Linked DNA regions of Schizosaccharomyces pombe. The protein of the gene in region 3 binds, or shares a complex with, the protein of the main gene of each other region. Each region holds a gene or a part of one and is shown on either strand. Other genes may lie near its edges.

What was found. The genes of interacting proteins can lie anywhere in the genome.
Region 1: rsm25 (region 3) and mrps12 share a complex: the UniProt entries of both Schizosaccharomyces pombe proteins name them as parts of the mitochondrial small ribosomal subunit.
Region 2: rsm25 (region 3) and rsm24 share a complex: the UniProt entries of both Schizosaccharomyces pombe proteins name them as parts of the mitochondrial small ribosomal subunit.

Annotation. Positions count from the first base shown.
Region 1 is NC_003424.3:2,667,165-2,670,541, forward strand, and holds mrps12 (mitochondrial 37S ribosomal protein uS12m), read right to left. Parts: upstream 1,769-3,377; 5' UTR 1,659-1,768; coding exon 1,170-1,658; 3' UTR 917-1,169; downstream 1-916. Other genes in the region: hxk2 (hexokinase 2), read left to right, coding at 1-19; mrpl28 (mitochondrial 54S ribosomal protein mL40), read left to right, coding at 2,649-3,005; Brix domain-containing protein Rpf1, read right to left, coding at 3,365-3,377. UniProt on the Schizosaccharomyces pombe protein: Component of the mitochondrial ribosome (mitoribosome), a dedicated translation machinery responsible for the synthesis of mitochondrial genome-encoded proteins, including at least some of the essential transmembrane subunits of the mitochondrial respiratory chain.
Region 2 is NC_003424.3:561,935-565,989, reverse strand, and holds rsm24 (mitochondrial 37S ribosomal protein mS35), read right to left. Parts: upstream 2,065-4,055; 5' UTR 1,821-2,064; coding exon 1,526-1,820; intron 1,517-1,525; exon of another isoform or gene 1,438-1,516; coding exon 956-1,437; 3' UTR 917-955; downstream 1-916. Other genes in the region: phospholipase D Pld1, read left to right, coding at 1-822; exosome subunit Rrp4, read left to right, coding at 4,023-4,055. UniProt on the Schizosaccharomyces pombe protein: Component of the mitochondrial ribosome (mitoribosome), a dedicated translation machinery responsible for the synthesis of mitochondrial genome-encoded proteins, including at least some of the essential transmembrane subunits of the mitochondrial respiratory chain.
Region 3 is NC_003423.3:4,290,396-4,294,607, forward strand, and holds rsm25 (mitochondrial 37S ribosomal protein mS23), read right to left. Parts: upstream 1,568-4,212; 5' UTR 1,294-1,567; coding exon 631-1,293; 3' UTR 501-630; downstream 1-500. Other genes in the region: nucleoporin Rae1, read left to right, coding at 1-77; PPR repeat-containing protein Ppr7, read left to right, coding at 3,202-4,212. UniProt on the Schizosaccharomyces pombe protein: Component of the mitochondrial ribosome (mitoribosome), a dedicated translation machinery responsible for the synthesis of mitochondrial genome-encoded proteins, including at least some of the essential transmembrane subunits of the mitochondrial respiratory chain.

The sequences.
Region 1 (3,377 bases), on a different chromosome or scaffold from region 3:
AAAGAAAGGCTTGGCCTAAATCATGTTAGATGTCTGTTAGCTTTTTTTGAATTGTACGTAGAAATGAGCATGTAAATATGAAATTGCTTTTTAACAGCTTTTAGTTAAGATGTTTTTTTTGAAAGTGAATTTATTTCCTGGAATTAGTTAATAGTATGAAGATTGAATATCAGATGAATTAAAAAGCATGTTGTGATTGATGTTATATGTCTCTTTAAAACAAAATTGTGGTTGTGTATTGTTATTAAATTTGTTACGATTTTGTTAACATTCCAAAAAAGAGTACGGAATTTACAAACATTACAGGACATCTCAAAGATGTGTGTGTAAATTGATTCTAACAAAAAGAAATTTGATTTTTTTTAATCTGAGTTTGTAAAAAATAAGATTCATCATACCCTATTATCTCAAATTTATGAATTATTCGGGTTCAAGATAAAATCTTCTTTTTCTTTCAAGAAATCCAATTAACCAAGATTTGTTAAAAAATATTTTTCTCATCGTTTAGTAAATTTTTCTGCAACGTTGAACGGTGAAGTTGTGCTAGCAATACTGCATACTATATAAATAAGAACCGGAAAGCGTTTTCCAACACCCAAAAGGTGTTTTTTATACTTTATTCAAGAGTTAAAAATTAAATAGCACGGTAGTAAAACCAAATTGAACAAATTAAAAATTGAAAGCGTCTCAAGTTTAAAATTTATTTAAAGAGCTTATATCAAAAAAGTAGAAAACTTTCCAAAAGGATTTCTCAAAAGAAAATCCTCCTCATTTTAATAAATCATTGTTTAGATAGATTTGGTTAAATTTTAACCAAAAGGATTATCTATTTGCTAATTTTTTAGATAACTGGAAATTGCCTAATTACACAATCTTTTTTACCTTTTTTTGATGATTGTATGTTTAAAGGGGATGTAGTTCAACTAAAAAATTGCTTATTAAACATGCAAGAGTAAATGATTATTGAATATGTATAGTTGCAACAAGAAGCAAGGTTGCGAGAAATGACAAATGGGTTGACTCAACTTTTTTCTCATTTAAATTTTTGTTTCAGTCATTTTAATAAGGTCCTTGTGAATCGATATCAAAAGAGGAGGTGGAATAATTATAAAGATAACGTTTCTGAATATCATGGTTTTCGAAAAAGAAAGTCTTTGAGGTCATGAAGTTTAGGCTGCTTTCGGTTTTTTTACTCCATACTTGCTTCGGGATGTGACACGTCCCGCTACACCAGCAATGTCATAGACACCCCGAACAACATGATATTGGACTCCTGGACAATCCTGTGCTCTGCCGCCTCTTAACAATACCACAGCATGCTCCTGTGCATTATGACCGATACCTGGAATGTAAGCAGTAACAGAACGGCCGGTTGAAAGGCGTACACGGGCAACCTTTCTTACTGCCGAATTAGGTTTTTTGGGTTTTACTGTAAAGACCCTCGTGCACACACCCCGTCGAAACGGACTTCCCTCTAAAGCAACAGATTGCTTATTTGTTTTTTCAGGACGTTTCTCTTTATTTCTTATCGTTTGATTTAATGTCTTTAACATAACTGAAGAGCTAGAAAACGCTTGAGCCTGAAATGGTGAAATAACTGTTGGCTTCATCAACCTTGAAATTACCGGATATCGAGCATATTGAGCAAAACGGATCATTATTTGGGGAAATTTAATATTTGAGCTGTATAAAATCTCAAAAATCACTATAATAGATGCTTGAGCAAGGAATTCCGAAGTTTGTACCCGAACGTCGCTGGTTTGGTGTTAGTGTATGTATATTGCCTTGGAATAGAATATCTCGCAGCATTCATATTATTCGATGGGATACAAAAATTTATTCTTTTATATTTTGACAAACATTTTTGGGTATAACTAGCGTATTAAATATTTTTTCCTCTAGGAATTGAACTTTAATGGACTAGTCTAAAACAGATGCAGAATGTAGGTATGCTAATCGACAAATTTACAGTACAGTGTTAAGCTGAAAAAATCAACTTAATTCATGACTTCTACTGAAAAACGTACTGGAAGTAGATTGTATTGAGGTTTAAGCTTCGTTTTGCCATGCCATTTTCAGTTGATGATAGTATTTATTACAATAACTTATCCATTCATTAAAACTTTAAACACTGATATGGATTTATCAATGTGTTTGACTACTTACATGAAACTTAGCAGAAAAATTGAGCATCAGGCCTACTCCATATAAAGCTTTGACTTAAAACTTAATATTTTCTACTTGTTAAATGTCTTCGTTTGGTTACATATCTCCATAAATGCATATGCTTTGTTTGGCTTAGCTACTGAAAATTCAGAAACAATTAAATGAACTCCGAATTATAATCTATATTTTTTTTATCAGTGTGTGAAATTGAAGGGGATTTGATGAAACACTTCTTTTTTTGAAATATCGTACTGGTGGCTTTTCCTAGTGTATCACGACTTACTCTCTTAATTAGCTTCATACCACTGAACACGTTTACTACTACCGCATTTTTCTCTACTCAGGTTTTTTAGCTTTTAAAGGAAGGTTTTATGTTAATACTTTTGAAAATTAAATTTTTTTCTATCAACGTGAAAAAATTCAAGGAGTACTTTAGTTTGTGTTGAAAAGTTTTTTGGCAGATGCGTTCTACGTTACAATTAATGGCTAAGGCCTCAAAGGGAAAGCACCAATCTGGTCCTTCTAATCATAGTGAGTCAATCGATTTGGTTAGAAAAGCTCTTTACGGAAATAAAAAAGTCAGGTCTTTGAAAATGAATCCAGACATGTGGGAAAAACACGAAGTTATTAATCGCGCTTGGCGTATACACGAATATCGACAAGAAAAACAAAGAGAGAATCTTCTAAAAAACCAATTCTCTGCAATGAAAATTGCTTGCGAGGAACTGAAGCATACGAGTGAAACATTATATAAAGCCGCAATGAGCGATTCAATTAACAGGAGGTTCCCCGTAGAAACGAGGACTCCTACGGACACACCACCACGGCTTTCTAAATAGGCGAGCGCCTTTTATGAGTATAATTAATATCTTCGGTAGTGCTCGAAAGTGTTATAGACAAGTTCAAGTATATAAAAAAATGTATCACTAATTACGAGCAAGTATAATCTAATTAGGATTTTTAAATAAACCAATAATTGAATTAAAGAATTATGTCTCCTAGTTTCTAGTCTACATGTATCATATTATTCATTCCCAATTTCACCGTAAACGAATGATACAAAATGAAAGGCCATGCTTTCTTTTTTAACCAAAAATTTAGAATTGTTACCAAACCCAAACCCTACCTCGAAAACAATAAAATATGACCCAAACACTGTTTTCTTTTTACAACGTGTCGCAGATGAGACAAAATGTCTTTAAAGCCAGAAT
Region 2 (4,055 bases), on a different chromosome or scaffold from region 3:
TCTTCGATTGAATTCAATATTAAAACTCAAAAGGACAAGGTCGAGTTTGAAAAGAACTACGAGAAGTCTAAAAAAGGGCCTGATGTTATAGCCAACGCCCTAGTAGGCGGCATCCCCTTATCACTGAAAACAAAGGAGGACTCATTATATGAACTTTCCAAGTTCTCTCAATGTGGGGAGGATCAACGTCCAATGGTACTTAAAGACCCTGATCATCTAGTGCCTGAACCCAGTCGTCCACACTGTGGAAATGGACTTGTGTTTTATGATGATATACCATTGCTTGAGGTGAATCCTATTAGTGGAGAAACAATTCCTAAATTTGACGCTTCAAGCTTTGAGGACCCCGTCTGCGATGAATTTTTTGAAGACATATGGTCTAAAGTGGCTTCAAACAATACTACTATTTATCGGCACATATTTCGATGTGTACCGGATGACGAGATGCTAACGTGGGAATCATATAATGAGTGGAAAAAATATGGAAAACGCTTTAAAGAAGAGCAAGCCCGCTGGCGTCAGGAGGAGTTGTCAAATCTACACGAAACTCATGAAAAGTCAGAGAATGATCCAAAAAATCCAAAGGCTGGTTCCCAAGGTAGTGGTAACACGAGTGCAAGTGAAGATTCGAAGACAGAGAAACCAAAAACCCGTACTAATAATGGTTTACAAGTTCCTGACAAACGTGTAGTTTACGACTTACTACGTGGCATTCGGGGACAGTTGGTAGAACTTCCATTAAAATGGATGTCTACCGAATCAAACGCAAGAAATTGGCTCAGTAGTATTGACAAAATCCCTCCGTTAGAAATTTATGATTAGAGAAACAGTACCTTTTATACTACAGTTTTATTTCATCTTAATATAGTAATGAGAAGGATTAATTCCTTCAATATTAGCTTACATTATAGACTCGTTAATTTTAATAGTAACTTAAACAAACTTTCCTTTCATATTATTCATCTGTAGTTGCTATCGATTCTCGTTCAAGTACTGTATTATGTGATTGCTTGCCAATCGTTGTTTTCTTTTTAGAAGTGAGTGTAGTTGCGTCTGCGAGCCATTCCTGTGGCATCCGTTTATCACACTTCTTGTATTTCCAATGGCCAGTATTCAATGGGACATGTGAAAATTTTTCAGCATTTCTCTTCGATTCTTCAATGAGCGAAGTTAATATCTTTATAAGATGATATTTATTTTGTAGTGCAGAAGAATACTTGTCGGAAGATATTCTGACTAAATCCTCCTCCGGATTATATCTTGGTCCAACCAATAATCGTAATACATGTCGTTGTTTCTCCTCTAGCAAAGGAATATTCGTAACTTTAAATGTAACAACGACCTTCGGATTCATTTTCTCAAACGAAGACATTTGGACATCAGATTCAAACCTAAAGATCTGGCTATCAGCAGGCTTTTTAAAAGACTGTGTGTAAGCTATAATTGTCAGAGAAAATGGAACATTAAGCATATTAAAGTGATTGTGAAATAGAATTCCTAAGGTAAAACTACCCAGTAAACTTACGCGTAAGTCCAGGAAGCTCATAAGCAGCTTTCCTATACAATTCACGTATGACCTCGTGCTCTTGTATTTTCTGCCATGATAGATTATTGGAATGGACGTTATCATCAATTGTTTTCAATTCCTTCTCGTCATGAGGCTCGATTCCAAAAGGCGCTGACACATAAGCACTTCGCTTAAATCTTGTAAAATAGAAAACAGAGAAAGCTCTACTAGTAGCACAAAAGCTTGATTTGGAAAGTTGCCCGAGGAATATGGCATCTGCTTTCAATAAAGATAAAAGGGGATTAAAAGCCATTTTATAACCACCCAAAACACTAAATATATGTAATATTTGTATTATAAAAAAAAATAAACCACATTTAACGAATGCGCAGTAGTGTATGATACCGGATTTTATATTTTCTTTGAAACGAAAAGAGTGGCCGTTATAAATGGAAATCTGAATCTAACAAAAACTTTTTTTCTAAAATTTAACAATCCAAATGCTCAAAACAATTAAATAAGCTACAAAAAGGTACTTGAAGGGGATAGTGAAGAATGTATAAACATTGTTGTCCTTGACTTGACTTCGTTGTATATAATTATAACACACTAAATCTTAGTAGTTAGAACCAGTAAAAACCACATAATAGACTGGAATGAAGGTTAGTAACGTAAAATAGCATCGATTCTACTCAATTGCATTTATAACATCTATTGAATAAAAACACCTAATAATACTTTCAAGCTTTTTTTTTTCTTAGGAATTTAATAGCACTTGCTTCCCATCCTTTTTTGGCATTCGCTGTTTAAAAAGTGTGTTAGTTATCCTTATATTTTGATTTTCGTAAGCAAGACTACACTACGTTACGCTGCGTATCACTATATGTCATCTGTTAGGATAGATTTAAGATTCGTTTACTAATAATTGCTGATAACTATTCTTTTGAGTACTTGTTTGTGTTTGATCATGTTTACTCCAAAAGATTATAAACAGAGTACATCTGAACAGAAACAGGTTCGTTTATATGTTAATTAATGGCAGGTAACAACGTAACCCATGTATAAATACTTACAACAAATTGCTACCCACATCACACCTATATATAATATGATATTACCGATCACAATGAAAACTCACAGAAGTCAAACAAGATACTACAATGCGCAGCTAGATAATATTGCACTTTCATTACTAGCGCTATTTAGTAAATAATTAAAAGAAGTTCGATTCAATTGTAAGTTTCATGAGAAAACAGGAAACTCCATTTAAGAATGATTTAAATATAAGAAAAAGACGCAATGTTTTTAAGAAAATGGGGTAAACAGAGTGATGGCAAGTCATCTGCTCAGCGTCTAGTCATTATTATTCCCTGTATGTGTTAATTCAAGCCTATCAAAGTAAAATAAAAAATTTTTTACGAAATAATCTTTTATTGAACTTGATTTAAAAAATCTGTATTTTTTATTTAACTATATTATTATGAACGTGAAATAGTGCTTAATTGGGTTCTTTAACCGTGATGTTTACAATGTTTGTATTGTATTACTTTTAAGTTAAGTAAAAACTAAATACCTTGACCCACATAACTTGTTCTTTGCAAAAATGTTAAGGAGCTGAGTATTTTAGAGTACTCAACACGAATGGAAGTCAATGCATATAACAATCTGTAGACAGTAATATTAGACTGTTAATGTTTACATGAGTCATTTGTAAAAAAAAAAAAAAAAAAAAAAAAATTATAAAATAATTGAATAAATAACCTATTACAGAAATCTTCAGACAACGATATTTTATTAATTTATTCCATTGCAATATTGCTTTAATACAATTTGGCTTGACATTGTGATGGAATTGACATGGATAATTTAAAATAATTAATTAAAAATTTTGTTGAAATTAATTGACTATTAACAATTCATGAAGTATCGTAAATCTGCCCTGATAAAATAAAATTTAAAAAAGTGTTGAAAGTGTTAATGGCTTTATAATTTGTAAACTTAGCCGTTTATTAAGTTTGAATATTGATAATTATTGAAGAATAAAGCATTATTTCCATTTTTTCTTCGTTGATTCATAGCTTTCATCAGACCTCTTCTGACCAAGGTTGACTAATGTATACAATTTGATTTTAATGACAATTCTTTCTTCTTATTAATAGTTTTTGCATAATTTTTCCCCAGCTTCTTATTTAATCCATCGAATATTTCAAATTTACTAACCCATCATCATTTTACCTTTAGATATTTTACGAGGAGCAACGCGTTACTTTAGCGGTTTAAAATTCTTTAGCTTTATGAATCAGTGTAAATTTCACTTTTGCATAAACACTAGTGTAAAAGCATTACAGGAGACCAGATTTGGTTTAAATTTAGTGGCTATAGCTAATTATCCAACATAACCCGACTAATCTTGATTTGTGGAAAGGGTAGTTATTAGTTTTGTAGTTTCTAAGAATTCTAAGTCGTGGTTTGTCCCAGTATCTTCTTTTGTCGAATTCAAACGAAATACTTAAAAATGGTTACAATTTTAAAACCTGAAGAATTCTAT
Region 3 (4,212 bases):
CGCAATTGCCCAATAAAATCATGCTCCACCCTGTTCCGCAAGACGAAATAAAACCTCGACCTAAGAAAGGAAGGTAAATGATGGTAATTTTTAGAGTCTACATAGGTGAGATGGTGACCAATCCTGTTGAGGCATGAGTTTGGTTTTTTTGATATGTATCTTAACTTTTTGTTTGGGAAAAAAAGTGGCATTTCGTGATTCATGACTAAAATCAATTACTGGCAATCGTTTAATATTAGAAAAATTTTTCCTTTCCTGACAAAAAGTGTTATGGGTATAGACGCTATCATCTTCTTATCTATGTTGGCTGCTCAATAAATGATGAACTTTTTTTAAAGCACTTTTAAAAGTTTGGAGCGAAAGTTCGCTAGCTGGCTAAACGGCAGTGTCATCTGAAAAGCTTGCTATAGCTTTGAATAATATTTATAATATATATATATGTATTCAAATAGATGGTAGAAATTTAATGTGTTCTGATAGATTGTTTTAATTTGAAGACATAAAGAGATGAAAAATATCTGTTTTATTTTTGAAAGGGGATAGTACTAAGAAAATTCTGAAAAAAAAAAAAACAAAACAAAAATCAATTTTTGAGGAGACAATATGATATATCAGCTGTGAATTTAAATACTACTGAGTCGTCTTAGAGATATCTACACTCGGGTCTGTGAACTTTGTACGATTAGCCTCAGCGTATTGTGAAGCATTATCAAACCAAGAATTTAAAGCATTTTGATCCATTTCATAGCCCAACTCCAGATCAGATTTTGTAAATACAGCACCCAATGCTTGAGCCTGATCATGGGCAACGCGTTGCTGAATTTCTTGTTCAGCGCGTAGGTGATAAAATTCCTTTCTTGCTTGATCATAAGCATTTTCTACAGGCATGTTAGAGTTTTCAATCAGCCATAAAGTTCTTTGCACTACACTCTCGCCAGATAATGCTTTGCGCGGTTGATCCATGTGACTCCAATCACAATATTGCTGATCATTACCGTCATTTTCTGCAATGATTTGAGGCCTTGCTAGTTCCCAAGGATGATCTCGATAAAACCTTTTACGGAGTTTATCTTCTGGCCATTGAATTTCCTGAGGCTGATACATTGATTTTCGTAACCGTTTACCACGGGATTTTACCTTATTTGGATCGTACAATGGTACAATACGTCTAGCATATTGAAAGGTTGGGGGATGTTTAGCAACCGTTTCGTACCATAAAGACTCTGCTGTCCATGGCTTTTTCATTTCAGCTGCAAAGCTGCGTAGCAAACCATTTGCATTAAATTTCGGCATTGGATCTTCCTCCTGAAAAAGTTATTAAATAGTATATTAGTAAAATAATCAGTAATAGAAACGTGAAAATGGAAGTAAGGATTGAATAATGATTGAGATGGGTTAATTATGCAAAACACATCCACGGCGCTATAAATAATGGAGAGTATGACTTGAGGTAATAAACAATCGCTTATATGGATAGTCTGCTAAAAAAGTGAATTATAAGCGCAAGAAACCAACTTTTTTGGTGAAAATGGCTTCCAAGAGGAATTGGGCTGGCCAAGCTAGTGTTAGCTGACGGTACTAGTGTGCCTCATCTTAGTAGCTACTGAGTATAACCTAATGGTAAGATATTATGAATATTTATTTCAGAACACACAAGGATACGAACACTATTAATGAAATAGTTATTTATAAATTTAAACACATCTATTGCCTTTTTTTTGCTAAGATATGGCTTGTTTGTAAATTCGGAATTTAAACTAAGCGATTGTTCATCTAAATTAATTTTATGGATTGAAAGTCCCTATTATTTTTTAGATATTTTTTTTATAATTGCTAAAGGTATATAGAGTTTATTGCCTTTATTTTTTTATATTTTTTTATCAATCGTTAACGCCATAGGAAAGCAAGTTAAACTGCTTAAAAATTTTTTAATACTTAAAAATTTTTTGTTATGGAATAAACTTTTTTTTTTTTATACTTTTAATTTTCACTGATTTCATTAAATATTTACCGGCAGCCGTTAGAATTATTAATAACAATGGTTCAAAAAACTCCAAAAAAATTTTAAGATTAATTAGACAAAATCAATTATATGTTTCGTAAAGCAAATTAAATGGCTGTACTGTATTTGTGAAGCTGTATGCGTATTTGCTAATTTGATTTTGTCATAAACTGACTGAGTAAATTAGCGCAGCAAATGCCGCTACACCTAGCATGTTCTGAAGTGAAAATGAAGTGCTGCAAATATTTAAAGCCATTGATCGTACAGTATTATTATGAATGGACATCAACTACTTGAATTCTTGCCTGCTCATACATTTTTAGCAGTTATTTTCATTTCTTCACTTATAACGCAGTCATATTTATACTCCGTATTTGATTTTACCTGCTAGCTGGCAATCTCAATGCTAGAATACGATATTCGCTTCTGGATGATGAGTGTTATATAACCTAGGTAAGGTTAATCTGTAGCTTATAACGAAGAAGTAAGGTAAATAGACTACACTTGTGTTCTTTGACGAAAGTGTATTCGATGATATTGTAAATGCTGATTAAATACTAATGAGTCAACAAACGTGCCTAAATGCTGGTTGCATTCAATGCCATTCCTATATATGATGATGGCCGATTGATCGTTATTCATTAGCGATTCTTAAGAGGATCGATGAATGATAGTTTAATAGTTTAGAGGGATATTCTGCATTTAATTATATTAAGGGACCTCTTTTTTACTCATGAATGTTCTTTCCATGTTTACACAATAACGAGCTATTATAACAAAATAACGTAAATAAACTATAGCGATGGTTTCCGTTAATTCACTAACGCTGCCTGTTAATGAGGAAATAGCAATCTTAGGTTTTGCTTAGAACCCAACTTCGCAACGTTGGAAGGTTTGCTCAGTTAGCTGTATTTATACCACCTTCTGTTTTTTGGAAACCTTGGATGAAATGTTTAGATGCATTATTGAGCCTTTTCGCACAGTTTAATGTTTGAATTATCGCATCATATAGAAAGGGAACGGAAGTATATGCATCATCTCGTATCGAGTTCTCGTTTTCTTTTTTTATCAAGTACCCCCTTCTCTCATTAATAGTGATCCTTTTAATTTGATTATCGTTTCTTTTCTTCATAACGCGTCTTTTCGTTTCCACGCCTCTCGTTTTGGGGACGACTTTTGTCTGCTTGCCAGGCTAAGAGATGCGAAATTGTGTATCTCCACTACTTTTTGCATGGACAAAACATTTACGTTTAAGGGAATTTAAAATCCCTTTCCCAAATCGTCTTGTTGTGCGGTCACTAAACCAGCTTAGCGTTCATCATGAAAAGGTAACTGGGTGCAGGCCTCGACAAGCGTCTTCTGATGAATTACATAAATACTCGAAATCTGCTTCAAACGAAGCATTTCTCTCAAGTTTTGCAGAAAATCAATTATTTCACAAGTGTTTGCCTTCCAGCGCAGGTGCTGTTCTTAGTGAAAACGATTTAATGTACATTATCCGAAAAGTCAGTGAAGTCTATGCTGATAATAAAACTGAAAAGGTTACTGTGCCTTTTGACAAACATAAAAACCCATTCCTAATTTACGTGAAAAAACGGTTTGCCGAATGTTTTGATAAAAATCCTGATCTTTGCCTCATTGTGTATTCAAAACTGGAGGTTGAAACGTTGGCAAAAATAACTCCCATTTGGATTAATGTCGCCAAAAAAAATAAAAAAGAAGATTTTCTTGTTGAACTCTGCCTCCGTTTTTTAGAACGATTCCGTTCATGCAATTTGACTGAACAAGCAATCTTATATCAAAATTTTCGAGAAAACTGGTGGAGTAACATTAAGTTACCCCAAAATCTCAAAAGTCTGTACGTTGAATTGTGTTTGGTGTATCATTTCCATAATTCCCATCTTGGGATGGATTCCTCTACAGTCTCTAATTTAAAACGCTTCTGCTTCTCAGAGTCATTAGGTCATATATTTGCTCCTTTGAGATTCCAAAATCAACAGCTTCCTTTGCAACACGTTTATGCGTTTTTGTTTTCCATAGCATATCGTGATAACCAAGTTGATACTGCTCATTTTCTTTATAAACAGTGGTCTCGTGCAGGCATGGGACCATTGCCAAAAGATGCATTTATAAAATTTGTACAATTACTCTCAAAAAACCGTAATTGGGTTTTAATGCGCGATATTGTTCAGCTGGAAGAATACAATAGT